Diceros bicornis minor: one gene and its partner. The protein of the gene in region 2 purifies or fractionates together with the protein of the main gene of each other region. This does not show direct contact. Links are inferred from orthologs where the notes say so. Each region holds a gene or a part of one and is shown on either strand. Other genes may lie near its edges.

The links. The genes of interacting proteins can lie anywhere in the genome.
Region 1: the proteins of ARPC1A (region 2) and ARPC5 fractionate together in Homo sapiens (co-fractionation; 8 studies listed by BioGRID and IntAct, counting the BioPlex papers as one, with this or other methods). This does not show direct contact. The link is inferred for Diceros bicornis minor from reciprocal best matches to the Homo sapiens genes ARPC1A and ARPC5.

Annotation. Positions count from the first base shown.
Region 1 is NC_080743.1:83,822,311-83,830,019, forward strand, and holds the start of ARPC5 (actin-related protein 2/3 complex subunit 5), read left to right. Parts: upstream 1-4,705; 5' UTR 4,706-4,902; coding exon 4,903-5,045; intron 5,046-7,616; coding exon 7,617-7,689; intron 7,690-7,709. UniProt on the Homo sapiens protein: Component of the Arp2/3 complex, a multiprotein complex that mediates actin polymerization upon stimulation by nucleation-promoting factor (NPF).
Region 2 is NC_080765.1:7,346,711-7,354,499, forward strand, and holds the start of ARPC1A (actin-related protein 2/3 complex subunit 1A), read right to left. Parts: upstream 3,009-7,789; 5' UTR 2,919-3,008; intron 1-2,918. UniProt on the Homo sapiens protein: Probably functions as a component of the Arp2/3 complex which is involved in regulation of actin polymerization and together with an activating nucleation-promoting factor (NPF) mediates the formation of branched actin networks.

The DNA of each region.
Region 1 (7,709 bases), on a different chromosome or scaffold from region 2:
GGTTAGGGGGGAGAAAAAAGAAAAAAATGTTGATTATAATATTTTGCTTAAATAGTTAATAGTAGTAATGAGAAAAGTAATATGCCCATGGTCATGGAAAATATTAGAGTAATTATAAGAAAATATTTTGTGCAACTTCTTGCCAATAAATGGGCAGTCTAGAAGAAATGCAAGTCAATAACCACAGAAGATAGACAAAGATTATCAAAGATCTACCTCTAAAAATATGAGCAAACCCAGATAATTTTGCAAGCACATTCTGTAACTTTCAAAGAAAAAATAGCATGGTAATTTTCTATTATTCAAACTATTCTAGAGCATAGAAAAAAAGATGGAAATCTTCTCAATTCATCTTACAAAGCTAGACTAACCTTAGTATCAAAACCGGATAAAGATAGCACAAAGAAATAAAACTATGGACCAATCTTACTAAGAAATACAGATTCTGAAATCATGTAAACAAAATATAAGTTAATAAAATCTAGCAAGTAATTAAAATAGTAACCAAATAGAGTTTATTCTAGAAATGTGGGAAGGGTTCAGTGCAGAAAACTATATAAATATAATTCATTACATTCATAAATTAGAAGATCAAAAACTATATGATTTTTATCATTAGATCCCCAAAAAAGACATTTGATAATTTTAGCAGTCATTCCTAAAGATCATAAAGCAATAGGAAATATAAACTAGTGAAATACCAAAGATATTTCCATCAAAATAGAAACAAAGAACAGAAGCCTACTATCACTCAATTTTTCAACACTGTTTTTGAGAATCTAGCTAATGCAGTAAAATAAGGAAAATAAATAAAAATGATATAATATTAGAAAAGAAGATGTAAATTATCATTATCTCAGACATTATGATTATATATTGTGACAAGAAAGGTAACCTTAAAACAACTGTTAGCATTAATAAGAGATCCCAATAATGGGAAAGAATACAGGATAAGTAAATTTTAAAATCCATAGCTTCCCTTTATATTATCATTAGCAGGTAAAAAAACTAAGTAGAAAAAGAGTCTCACTCACAACAATGTTTAAAAAACAAGGTTTATTCTTTCATTTAGCACTAAACTTTCTTCCTGAGACAAGAGTACAGATTAAACTTGTTTTTAATCTTTGAAGTACTAACATATAAATAAATAAAGGTTTCATTGTAAAATAGTTCACCCTACCTACTCTACTTCAGGGTGTAATCATAAAGTTATATAAAGGTAAAATTAATCACAAAGAAAAAATTTGAAGTTTTGAAGGTTGGTGGTTTCAACACAGAATCACTTGATCTGGATATTAAGTAGGAGCATTAAAACCATACTATAGTCCATAGGTAACATGCTAAAAAATCTTTTTATATCGTAGTAATTATGTTGCTAGAGAACAGTGGTATTAAATCATCATTACCACAACTGAAATTTATATATTTATTTTATATTTAAAATACCTATTTGACATATTTGATTAACACTGGGTTCACTTCCACTTCAAATAATAAAAACAATAGTGCTATGCTGCAGGATTCAATGTCTTGGTTTAAGTATTTAGTGGCAAGTCTGGGGAAAAGAAGCACATAGTAGGTAGAGTATTTAGTTTAAAATATCTGAAAAGAAAGACCTATTATAGGATAGTTTTATCAAAATCCTTTCTCACCAAAAAGATCCTTCACTCTTTGCATCATCACAGAAAAGAAGAAGCTACATACTACCATGCAGCATTAACCTTGAGAAAATTCAGATTCAGTCGTACTTTAGAATTGAATGAAACCAGGTTATTTGCACAATAAATAAGACGACTTAAAACCTTATGTATCCTTTATTTCAGGGATAAGCACTCACTTGGAAAATTAAAATAGGAAGAATAATATTACCTAAATGAATTAAGTACCACGATTAACACTAAAAATTTGGAATTTGCAAGAAAGTGGAATAATGTGTATTTTCTAATTAAAAGATAATCAAGGACAGGTTTCTCCACATGCACACACACAAATTTCCCTAATGCTCTATAAAGATTTTAACTTTAGCTAATGGGGGTAAGGAGGTCATTAGTGTGTCTATTAAAAAAATACTCAATCTCTAAATATGATTCCAAAGTTAACTGTCCAGATTATTAATTTATTGGATAGAAACATGTTGAGTACCTACTATTTACTAGGTACTTATTGTGAGACAATAAAAAATACTGCAATTGCAAAAGGACATTTTTGACATTATTACATCTCAAATGTAATACGCGTTGTGTGGCTGAGAATTAACTAATTATACTTAAAGCAAAATTCTGAGCAATTGAAACAATTATGCCCTTGAGCAACTCAATGTTTTAAATTCCCCTCATTATTCCCTTAAGTTGATTTCTACCCTGAGATTCTTTCCCAGTTCTAAAAGAAGAGAATAAAGAAATTTCCTAAATAAGACCTAACACAAAAGAATAGAAATGGAAGGGAAGGGATGTATTAGCTCTTGAATCCTTGTTTCCATTTGCTCTCAATAGTGCTTCTAATGTTCAATTTTCTCTTCAAAGAAAATATCGATTAGAAGAACAAAAAGTATAATCATCTTTAGCACCTAAACAAGTATATTGCTTAGCTCTTACTAAAGTTAGCAGAAGATTGAAAGTGAGAAAAAAATATTAAGACCAATCTTTATTGTAAGTTATATAATGCCATTCACCATAGTAATGATCTGATGCTTTGCTATATGACTTTTTAAAATAAATATTACCAACAGGTAGAAAATTTTCCTTTGCTGTCTTAAGACAGCCCTTAGGGGAGTTTTTACCAGTGTGTCTACTCATAACTTGAATGTTAATTTAAAGAAATGTCACTTCTATCACCTAATGATATATCTTCTAGAAGGGTGATTTAATTGGGAAAAGAAATATGCCATATTGCTTCTTCCTCCTAAAAAAAAAGGATGGATTCCATTCCTGAGGGGTCTCTCTCTCTCTCTGTGCATACATATGTATACATATTGATATACATATAGATATACATATATACATATGTATGCAAATGTGTCCAACAAAGGTTTGGTTTTGAGATCTCTCTTCCTTTTCTTACTGATTTATTATTCTCAGGGTGACTCAAACTGTACTGCTTTTCACATTTTCTTCATTCACCAATGAATAATTGAGTATGTGAATGTATTGAGTACCTTCTACATGCTTAGCTTTATGTCAGATGAAAAGGAAGATACCAGGAAAAAAAAAAATGACAGTCTCTGCCCTCCAGCACCTTTCGATCTCTTCCAGGGGCAAGATGAGACACGATATATCATTAAGTAATTTATAAGACTAGTGCCAAAATCAATGGTACAGGTAACATGCATTTTAGATTTATGTAGAATTTTAGAGCTTCAAAACACTTTCTTGTATTTAATCCTCAGAACAATCTTATGAACTACACATTATTAGCCCCAATTTAGCAATGAGGAATCTGAGGTTTAGAATTTTAAGTGGCATGCCTCAATCAAATAGATTATGAGCGGAAGAGTCAAGACTCAAGCACAGGAAACCAAGGATTGGGATACCTAACAGGGCAACAGCTGGCCTTCTGCTAGAGGTGGAATTAAACTAGACCTGATCAGACGGTAGGAAAACGTAAAGCCATCTGAGCAGTGTCCAGCCAAATGTCCAAATTAATTTTATTCTGCAAATATTTGTACTTCAGTGTTATTCCCACAGCACAAGTACCATTTCCTTAGTTTTAGTGCCTTGACTTCCTCAAGAGCTTTGCTCTCAGAAATAGGGATGTCAAATATAATTTATAAAACTGGCCTAGCGGGATCATATATCTTAAAGGTCTTAATCACAAATATAAATCTTAAAGGTCTGATTTCTACTACTCCTTACACATTTTGTTTCCCCTCAGCGCCGGAGAGCATAACTCGACCCTACCCTTTTCTAGCATTCTTGCTCCAAACAACCACTTATTTTAAGATGTCAATGATTGACCCTATCCCAAATTCCACAGGTTCGCCCCAGTTTTGCCAGCCGACCCCAAGCCCTGCCCAGACACATCCCCCTCCCTCCCAATGGATATGATACCTAGTTCAGATTCTGCAGGTGCCTCATGATGCTTGTCACACAGCACTGACAGATAAGATATGACCTTTCGACTCCGTCCTTGGGGACCTCCCGCTGGCCCCGCAGCGTAGTTCCAACCCCAGGAAAGGGGCTCCCGGCTCGGGAACGCAGCCGCCGGCAGCGCACGGTCCGAAGCGATGTCTCTGACAACTAGAACGATGCTGGACGCTCGGGCGTGCATCACTCCGCCCCATACTCCTGCCAACTGCAGCGGACTTGGTCCGGCAACCAGTCCATCCCACCCCACAGGCAAGTCGGGGCCGACCGGCCCTTACGCAGGACCCCGATGACAGGGCGTTGGCGGCGGCGGCAGCAGCAAAAGCCAAGGCCACCCGCCCCCAGTGCCCATCGCCGCCAATCTAAGACCCCCTAGACTGGACCGCAGAGAAGCGTTTCTATGGAAACCCCCCAGGGATCACGTGACGACGCGGACGACCAATCGTCTCTTACCTCCGCTCGCGGCACCGCTTTCTGCTCGCCCTCCAGCCCCGCCCCCTCCCGCCCCCGCTTCCATTGCCCAGCCCCGCCCCTTTCCTGCGGAGACTCCGCGCTTGCGTACTGCGTCCAGCGCGCTCCCTCCCTCGCGCGGCTCCCCGGGGAGAGTGAAGGCGCCGTAGGAGACTGGAAGAGAGCGCGAGCCTGAGGAGGAAGGAGCGCGGCGTGCGCGCAGGCCCAGAACCGCCGAGCCTTGGCTGCCGGCAACGCCCCAGAGCGGAAGAGGGAAGTGGAGGCGTCAGGCTGTGGGTTCCTAGCAGGGTGGGCTTGCTGAAGTAGAGGCAGCGCCGAGAGGAGGCCTTTGCCACCGGTCCGGATCGCGATGTCGAAGAACACGGTGTCGTCGGCCCGGTTCCGGAAGGTGGACGTGGATGAGTACGACGAGAACAAGTTCGTGGACGAGGAAGACGGGGGCGATGGGCAGGCCGGGCCCGACGAGGGCGAGGTGGACTCCTGCCTGCGGCAATATCCTTGCGTTCCCGCCTCCCCACCCTTCCCGGCCCTTCTCCCGGGACCCCGCCGCCTGCAGGGGGTGAGGAGGACGGGCGCTTCCCGGGGGCCCGCCGCTTGAACCTGTCTCTTTGGGGTCCCCCATTCCAGGAGGGCAGGGGGCTCTCCCATTTCTAACCGAGTAGCCCCGAGACCCCAGGGTCCAGCCCTCGGAAAGGTGCCCTTGCCCGCGCGCCTTCCACGCCGCGATTCCTCAGGTTGCGCCCGGAGTTCCTGCCTCCCGGGAGCTGGCTCCGCCGGCCGCGCCCGCGAGCGCTGGGGCGGGCATCTGTGCTGGTCAGTGCGCTGTTGCAGGGCGCCTGAGTTTTCCGCCCCAGAACGGTGTTTACTGGGGTCACATTCGCTCCAGAAATTTCTGATTGGGAAGAACGGACGTCTTTCCTTAGGATTTTGTTTTTGTTGTAGTTTTGTTTTGGTAGCGTTAGGATAGTTCATTTATTGCCGGGGGACATGGGTTCGGTTTGCAAAATTGAGGCCGTCTGTCCTTCCGGCCCGTGGGCTCTATTTTTTTTTTTTTTTTTTAAAGAGAAAGGGATTTGGTAAAATACGGGTTGCACAGTATTTGTTAACGGGAGATCAGGAGTGAGTACAAAACAACCAAAACTCCCGTGAAGTAAGCTTGGAGCCTTTACCTGCTAAGCAAAGGACAATAGAAGACGGGGAATGCGTGTGAAGAATCCTTGGAAATATTTAAAATAAAGCCCAATGAATAAAATAGAAGATGAGTCATTTGTACAGAGCAGAATCATTTTTGTAATCCTGAAGTGGTTTCCATTTTAGTTAAAATGTGGCTGTCAGTTCCTGGTTTTTGTTTTTGCATATTTGCATATTCATAAGTTTGAGTGATCATTTGCATCAGATCTTTTTTAGAAAAATGTAAATGTGGCAATAACCAAAGCTGTAGTTTTAGAGATCTTCAATTACTGAATTCACTCATTTCTAATTATTCTTGGGTGTATTCATAAGATAAGGAAGGCTTTTTAGAGTCTTTGCTCATCAATGGGGAAGTATATGAGTGGAAATAACTTGGTAGCAACTATATCTGGTCTTAAAGGCACCTAAAATACAGCACTAAATATGTCAACATACAGATGTTCTTTTGATTGCCACAACTTTCACAATCAGCTGTTGCTGTTTTGCATCATTTAAGCAGTTAAGTGTTTTGGGTCTTAAAAGTGAGCCAGTCTACAAAAGGCATGCGTCTCTAGAAGTTCATTAAGCCTTGAAAAGAGCGACTTACCACCAACCATAGGTTTTTTTGTGAGACCTTTTTCTTCAGAACATATGTGATAAACATTATTCTGTCTAAAAACATTCTTTGATGGATAAATGATGTTTTGTGAAGCTAACTTAGGTGATATGTGATGACTTTTAGATAGTACTGCTGTGTCGGTATAGTGGATCTGCTTTTTAAACAGTTCATCTTAAAATATAAAGATATTGTCTCTTCTACTCTTGTTACAAGAAGAGACAAACCCTGGTCAGGCACTACAGATGGAGGAACAAATGAACTCTGTGTGGTTTTCCTTTTAGGGAAATGACTGTACATTCTGACAGTCTGATTGGCCTTCTGTGTCTCATACTTGCTAGCTCACTGGTGCTTTCAAAGAGAGACTAAATTTAATAAGTATGGCCTGAGACAGTTTGAATAACCTTTATGAAATATGAGAGAAAATATCCAAAACAGAAAAATCAAGTTGCCATCTAAGGGCCATTGAATGATTATATCTTCCACAATATTGATAGGTTGCTAATATATATTATTCAGATTGCTAGAGTAATCTACCGGCATTTCAATTCATATAGAATATAGTTCTAGTAAAAGTTTTGCCTTTATTTTTCTAGGTAGAATCACATAAAAAGACATTTTGGTTAAGGATAGGCTGTTTCATTTTGGGGCCTAATAATTCTGATAGATGTTTTAGAGTTTTTTAAATATCACTCTAGATAATGTTTGCATATGTGTCTTACTAGAAAATGAAAGGTTGGGGCAGACCCCGTGGCGTAGCGGTTAAGTGCATGCGCTCTGCTACTGGCAGCCCGGGTTCGGATCCTGGGCGCGCATCCACGCACCGCTTTGTCAAGCCGTGCTCTGGTGGTGTCCCATATAAAGTGGAGGAAGATGGGCACAGATGTTAGCCCAGGGCCAGTCTTCCTCAGCAAAAAATAAAAGAGGAGGATGGGCATGAATGTTAGCTCAGGGCTGATCTTCCTCAAAAAAAATTAAAATAAAACTCATTATATAAATAAAAAAAAGAAAATGAAAGGTTATCAAGGTGTTCATCTAATAGAACCACGAATGAAACGGTCTTTGCTTTATTAAAAAACTCTAATGTTCTCTTTCTGTTTTCAGTATTTTGAGTGACATCCTTGAAACCAACATGTTGAATTTTCCAATATTGAACATAGTGACCATAGGAATTTTTCTTTCTGTGCGTAAAGTCAAGTCTTAAGAACCAGTGGTTCCTGGTAGTTATGATGCTTTCCTGAGGCCTGACCTTTGCTGCTATCCTTAACCTCCATCACAGGAAACATGACGGCTGCCCTACAGGCAGCTCTGAAAAACCCCCCTATCAACACCAAGAGTCAGGCGGTGAAGGTGAGTCACGGACAGCACAG
Region 2 (7,789 bases):
CACATTCTATTCTAAGAGTGAAGTTACTTAGGTCATTAATTTTTTACTTTTACGTGTTCTAGAATGCAAATTGCAACTCAAAAATAAAGAAAAAGCCTCTCATTGGAAATTTAAAAAAAACTTTAAATGAATTCAAATGAGACTGCTTAATTTGTTTTTTAAAAAATAAGCTTCCTGATGCTACCGTATCATAATTCTCTCTTTATCCCTGATATCAGATGCTTACCTACCACAACAGGTTTTACTCATAGTTCCTCAAAATAACATGTTGTGTAACAGATAGCTCCTTAAGTAAAAGCAATTTAGTTCAAAAGCCACATTTTATAGGTTCATTTGCTAACTGAAACAAAATTGGCCTGCAAATTAATAATTTAATGTGAATATCTGCATGCAATAAAAGCACATATTTCATGTGCTGCAGACAAAGGCTTTCTCACTCTTCAACTCAGTTTTATAAGCAATATAGCAAAGACTTCAAAAGAGGTAAACATTTACACAATGGCATAATTACTTCTAAAATTGCATTTCTAATTTTGTTATACCATTCAAGTTCTATATTTGGACATACACTCAGACTTACACTTCTTTTATAATCATGTGGCTATTCTGAGTCTGTAGACCAAGACAACATTCACGTTTGTCAAATTTATAGGGCGCCCAGTACACACAGACTGTATTCATCAAACTCAGTGAAAGCAAAAGAATAATAGCAGCTTGAATTTTGTACCAAGAAAAGATGCCTTCTGTCGTAGGGTGATAATTATAATTTCTAAGCTGTGATTAATATTTAAGTGGAATCTGAAAACCTTTGTCTTAATGAAGGTAGAGAAGAAAAAAAAGGACAGACAAAAAGGTAGTGACGTGAAATTTAACAATCTTCTATTGATGACCTTTTATTGTCTAGCACTGACAGAGATAATGATTTATAGCACAGTATGACCCCTGGAACACTGCCACCCCCCACCTCCTTTCTTTACCTATCACTTTGAGTACAGAGTCATTCTGATGTTTGGTTAGCCATGGGTTCTGAAGCCAAGGGGACGTGGGTTTGAATCTTGACTTTGACACATACTACCTATGAGACCCCAGGCAGGTCACTCAGTACCTCTAAATCTCGTTTCATCATCTGTAAAATGGACATATCACTGACATCCGAAAGCTGTAGGGAGGAGGATTAAATGAGATAACAAGCGAAAGCATGTAGCACAAAGCCTAGCCCAAAATAGATGCTCAAGAAGTTAGTTCCCTTTCTTCATCTGACCCCAGGCTTTTGAACTATCCCTGGAAGTACACATCAGTTAGCATCCTCCAAACACGGAAACATCCACATATGCTTTAAATTCTTGGCCCTGGTGCTTGAAAGTATTTGTACAGTGGGAATTTCAGTTTTCAAGACGTGATTCACCCAGTTTCTAATTGCTCTCACTACCCAACCCAGCAATACCAGGTACTCCAACAAGGTCACCACACCCTCCACAACGTCCAGAGACAGATTCCAATTCCAGGCACCAGCCTCACCAGCAGACCATTTTAAACTTCTTTATGCAGAATTTGTTTCAGCACAGGTTAGTCAACTAGATCAAAACACTGCCACTCTCCCTCCAAGCAGGAGTTTTAATTTTCCAAGATGATCCCTTCTTTTAATCGTCATAAGTAAATGAATTAACCTTGGAAGTTCTCCGAATACTTTGTTGTAGGAAGCAGCTTTACACCCTCTCCCAAATAGCCTAAAAACACCTTCCTGACTGATAGAGTCTCTGTTTTTTTGATACCTGAAAAACCCAGGGCCTACGTGAAAACAAGAGGTTAGATAAAATTAACAAAAGAGAGCAGAACTAGGATAGTTTAGGTAACTTAGGCAATGAGTTGAGGTAGGTGAAAATCGGTTAGCATTTCCTTCAGGTTCCAAAGCTGCAGTATGAGAACACATGGCTTTATAATCAAAGATCTAAGCAGTGTAGTAAGTATTGGGTTGGGGCCAGAAACATAAATAAATCTGACACTTTTCTGGTCCTTAAGTCTGGAAGAAGAGTGTAGGGGAGGAAGGGACGAGAGACATGCATAGAATGCCCAGAAGCAGTAATAATAGCTAATACTTATTGAGCACCTACTCTGGACTAGGAACTCTTCTAAGCAATTTATGCAAATAAACTCACTTGATCCTCAGAAAAGCCCTAAGAATCTTCTTACTGCAGATGAGGAAACAGGGATTCAGAGAAGCAATCTTCCCAGGGTCACCCAACCAAGTGGTGGTGCCAGGATTGTAACTGCCGCAGTGGGACGGGAGGGCTGGAATGTGCAAGGTGCCATATAAAAGGTTCCTTAGAGACAAGGAGCGAGGAGGAGCGAATATGTGCAATTCTGACTTAAGGGAAGGAGGCACCGGAGCGGGGGAATCTTAAAGAACTCGGGGGAAGGTTTTTCTCGAGTTCGGGAGGGTCCACCCGGCAGCTGAAGGATTGGGGGCTGCCCCAGACAGGAGCCAAACATTCCACGGGCGACGACTGTGTGCAGGGACCTCTCCTAGACGCTAAAAAAAGGAATGAACGGTCCCTCGTGACGCTCGATAGAGGGCAGAGGATCCCATTTACCACAATTTTACAGATTGTGATAAATGCCCACAATAGAGATGCAAATAGGGCAATAGAAGCGCAGCAGGAGTCGTTAATTCTGGCACGGGAGGAGGCTTGGAGCTTGAAAATCTTGGGAGAAGCGATCCCTCAAGGGGATCCCAGGGGCTCGCCAGGCCCCACGGAGAACACGGATCCCCGCCCCTCCGGGAGGCCGGGCAAGGAGACCCGGCCCGCCCCTCAGCCTCGGGCCCCGCGGCCTAAACCCCCGCCTTCCCGCCCCCGCGGGGTCGAGGCCGGGGCAGTGGAGGCCAGCAGAGCCAGAAGCTCGCCCCTGTTGCCCCTTACCTGGGGTCGGGGCAGTCCGGACGGGCTCGGAGCGGAGAATTCGCGGACTCTGGTCAGTCGACGCGAACAGGCTCCGGCGGGCGCGGGCGGAGGACCGAGGCTCAGAGGGAGCGGCTGACAGATCCCGGAAATGGCCACGGCGCCTGCGCAGCGCGGCGGCGCGGGCGGTCCGCGCACGCGCACTGATCGGTCGTGCGGCAGGGGTCCCGAGCGGGTGCGGCGGGTCAGGGTCGGGCCTGTGAGCGGCCGCGGTGGCCTTTCTGAAGCGGTGTCGTAAAACGGCTGGGGAATGGTGACGAGACAGCGTGAACGTCTTACTCCGGTCCTCGAAAAATTTCCTCAGACTGGCGGAGCGAAGTGTGGAGCCTTGGCGCTTTCGCGAGTGCTTTTGTCGGGAAATGAATTACTGAGAATTGAGAATTACTATATGACGCATTTCGCGCCACACGAACCCGACGAACGACTACGTGTTTCCCCCTTCAGAGACACCCCCGTCAGAGCCAGTCTCCTGTGCAAAGCCCTCTCCGAGGAACTTTCGCGACCCTTCCTCAGTCACTTGTTTCCTGCTCCCAAGATAGCGCCACAGGACAGAGGAATTGGGAGAATTCAGCATCTCCCCCCAAACACGTGAAGACAGCTTCCTGTGCAGATGCGGCTTCAAGGAAATGCTCTGAACCCCACTTGCGGCTAGACCTGTCGCCCTTCAAGGAAATGCTCTGAACCCCACTTGCGGCTAGACCTGCCGCCCTTGAACCCACAGAAATTCTGGAGCAGCACTCCTGTCCTCGGGGCCACAGCAGGTCGCCCACCAAGTGTCTGTATGGTTCCCTGTGGTGGTTTACAAGTTTGACCCCAATGCTTGGCTGTAAGGTGATGTTCACAGAAGTGAACGTGTCAAATTCCAAGTGTCAGAGCCTCACTATGTTCTCTGGGGCTGGTTAATCCTCTTGTTCGGGAGCACGCATGCACTGGAAGTAATTGGTTTTGCTTTGTCCCGTGGCTACAAAGTCTTTGGTCCCAGGGACATCGAGGACACATTGAGAGAGCAGAAAGAGCATTTTAAATTAATTACCCCCTCTCAGAGACAGCACCTTGGCAAAGGAAGGACAGCATGCGTGGAAGCAGGGATTCCTCGTGTGTCTGCAAGTTACATGAGCCAATCCGGAAGTGTGCAGAGTTGGTACCCAGAGTAAAAATACCAACAGTGTTTTATTTAGATCCCACCTCTTTGCAAGGGACAGTGCAGTTCCTTCTTTGAAGGAATTTGTAATCTGGGTAGATGAGAATAACACATACAAATTAATAATACCAGACTCTTTATGATAAATGACAAGAAAAGAAATAACTTAGTCCAGGAGAAGTAACAGTAAAACATTTAATATTAATCTCCGGTTCTACCTTTTGAGTTAGTATTTTGTATTTTAGCCTAAACAAAGCTTACCCTTGGATGCATTTCATCTTTTATGAGTCATTCCAGATGGTAAAATTTTATTTCTAAAGGGGCTTGTTAGGTGAAACCATCTTATTCTGTAACTGAGGAAACAGGGCCAGAGGATTTTGAGATTTCATAAAAGTTTTGATGTAAGTCACTGGCAGTCCAGAGCCTCTGTCCTGGTACCTAGTCCAGAGCATTTCCCATTATCCCATCATGCCCTGGTATAAGAGCCATTAGAGAAGGAGAGTGAGTTATTTTTAGTGTTTGTTTTTCAGACTTGTGTAATGACACTGACAGTATCCACAATGAGGACTCTGCCTTTTAAAAAATAGTTGCAGGGACGGGGCCGGCCCGGTGGCGCAAGCGGTTAAGTGCGCGCGCTCCGCTGCGGCGGCCCGGGGTCCGCTGGTTCGGATCCCGGGCGCGCACCGACGCACTGCTTGGTAAGCCATGCTGTGGCGGCGTCCCATATAAAGTGGAGGAAGATGGGCACAGATGTTAGCCCAGGGCCGTCTTCCTCAGCAAAAAAAGAGGACGATTGGCGGATGTTAGCACAGGGCTGATCTCCTCACAAAAAAAAAAAAAAAAAAAAAAAAATAGTTGCAGGGAAGGTGGTACTTAGAAATGGGAAATGGGAGGAAGTGAGGGGTTGGACACTGAGGGGTATGCCATGGGATGGTTTTGTTTGCTTTATTGACTCAGTTGGAATTGGCGTAGGATTGAATTGCAATTTGGTCAAGCTTCAAGTCATTAAATATTTACTGAGTACTCACCAAATGCAAAGTATTGTTTTAAGCATTTCGTGCAATGTACAGAAGAGTTGAGTAAGATCTCTCTGTCCTCAGGGAACTTAAGAGTGGGATAAAACCAGTTCACCGATAGTTTTAAATAGAAGGAAATACACAATCCCTGGAACCTGGAAGGTCCTAGTTAGTGTTTGTTGAATGAAACTATGAATGAATGAAATAAACAGTCTGGGATTTCAGAGAACACAGAGATCACCACCAGTTGTGAATGGGAGCCGGGGCTTGTTGAGACACATCAGGAATATCACCAGTTATAGATCGGAAAGATTACATGTTTACCAAGGTCTGAGGATTTCCTTATGCTCAAGAGAGCTTTGATTTAGTATCTGGAATGTGGGTTTGGAGAGTAAGAAGATTGTTTCTTGCTTGTGCCACCAGCCAAACAACAGTGAACACTTAATGCTGATCTGCCTCCATTTCTGTCTCTTACCTGGGTCAGTGCCTGCCACCTACTCACCACAGAGACTGTTGGAAATATTATTGAATCAATGCCTGTAAAAGCTGTATGTAAGCAAAAGGGTAAAAACAGAAGCGCATGCTCTGTGTTAATACTTAACAATGCTTATGATTTAGATATTGTCTATTTGCTGGGTATCGTCCCGAGGAGGGAAAGTTTCCCATAGAAAAGATCTTGTACAGTTCAGTGCAGAGGGACTGAAAAATGCATGTGGATTTTTCCACTCTAGGTTGCTCACCTAGTTCATTTCCATAGTGCAGGGATGGGACCAGTTTATGGGGTATCTAGGGGCATGAGGTAGTCCAGATGGTATATAAATAGCATTCTATCACAAATACTATACTTACAAGACAAGCACATAAGCATACTTATGAATACCAGGTATTGTTTTTCTAATTTGATAAGTGAAATCTGTAGTCCACAGGCCTGTAAATCTCCTGGAGGCCAGAGCCAGTTCTTCCACAGTTTGTTTCTAACACTTTTCCCGTGTTGTTATGCAATCTTAGATTATTTTAATAAAAAGGTAGTATGATGGAGTGCTTAAGAGAGTTCATTGACTTTGGAAGTAAACAGAACTGGGTTCAAATTCTGTCGCGGCAGCTTATCAGCTATATGCCTTGGGACAAGTCAATCAGCTTCTCTAAGTTTATTGGCAAATGAGGATAATAATTCCCACCCCTTAGGGTTGTTCTAAGGATTAAAATAGACAATGTATATAAAGTACTTGACAGTTCTTGGCACATTAAAAGCACTTAAATTGTGGCAATTATTATTTGAAAATATTGTACCAAGTTGATTCTCATAATTTACTATTTCTCAGTTGTTTTTTTCCCAGTCTGTGGCTTCTCTTCGTTCATTCTCTTAATGTCTTTCAAAGAGCAGAAGTTCTTAATTTTGAGAAAGTCCATTTATTAGGTGTAATGTCTGAGAAATCTTTGCCTAGTCCAAGGTTATATAGATTTTCTGCTATTTTTTTCCAGAAGTTTTATAGTTTTAACATTGATTGATTTTAGAGTGTTAAACTAAACTTGCATTGTTGGGAAAAGTGCTCCTTGGTCCTGATGTATTATTCTTTTTATACTTACTATATTTAGTTGCTAAAATTTTGTTAAGAATTTAACAATTTAAAATCTTTGTGGGCTGGCCCTGTGGCTTAGCGGTTAAGTGCGCGTGCTCCGCTACTGGCGGCCTGGGTTCGGATCCCAGGCCCGCCCCGACGCACCGCTTCTCTGGCCATGCTGAGGCCACGTCCCACATACAGCAACTAGAAGGATGTGCAACTATGACACAACTATCTACTGGGGCTTTGGGGGGAAAAAAGGAAGAGGATTGGCAATAGATGTTAGCTCAGAGCCGATCTTCCTCAGCAAAAAGAGGAGGATTAGCATGGATATTAGCTCAGGGCTGATCTTCCTCACAAAAAAAAAAAAAATCTTTGCTTATGAAGGATATTGTTTTGTAGTTTACTTTTCTTGTAATTTCTAGTTTTGGTATCAGAGTAATTGTGGCCTCATAAAATGGGTTCAGAAGTATTTCTTTTTCTTCAGTTTTCTGGAAGAGTTTGTATAGAATTGGCTTTTCTCAATTTCTAAACATGAGAGTTTTAAGTTATATTTTTGTTAATGATTTCTACCTTAATTGCATAATTTCTAGCTTCATTACTGATTTTTTTTTGCTTACTTATTCTTTCATTTACTAAGAAAGGTGTGTTAATGTCTCCCAAATGATTGTGGATTTGTTTGTGTCTACTGTAATTCTGTCATTTTTTAAAACTATATATATATATATATATTTTTTTTGCTGAGGAAGATTAGCCTTGAGCTAACATCCGCTGCCAATCTTCCTCTTCTTGCTCTTTTTGTATGTGAACTGCCGCCACAGCATGGCCACTGACAGATGAGTGGTGTAGGTCCATGCCTGGGAACTGAACCTGGGCCACCGAAGGGGAGCATGCCAACCTTAAGTGCTGTGCCACCAGGGCTGGCCCTAAAACATATTTTGAGGCCATATTATAGGTGTTTCTATGTTATAGAATTTGTCTTCTGAGAAATTGAATGTTTTATCATTATGAAATGTTCCTTTTTTTTTTTTTTTTTTTGTGAGAAAGATCAGCCCCTGAGCTAACATCCCTGCTAATCCTCCTCTTTTTGCTGAGGAAGACTGGCTCTGAGCT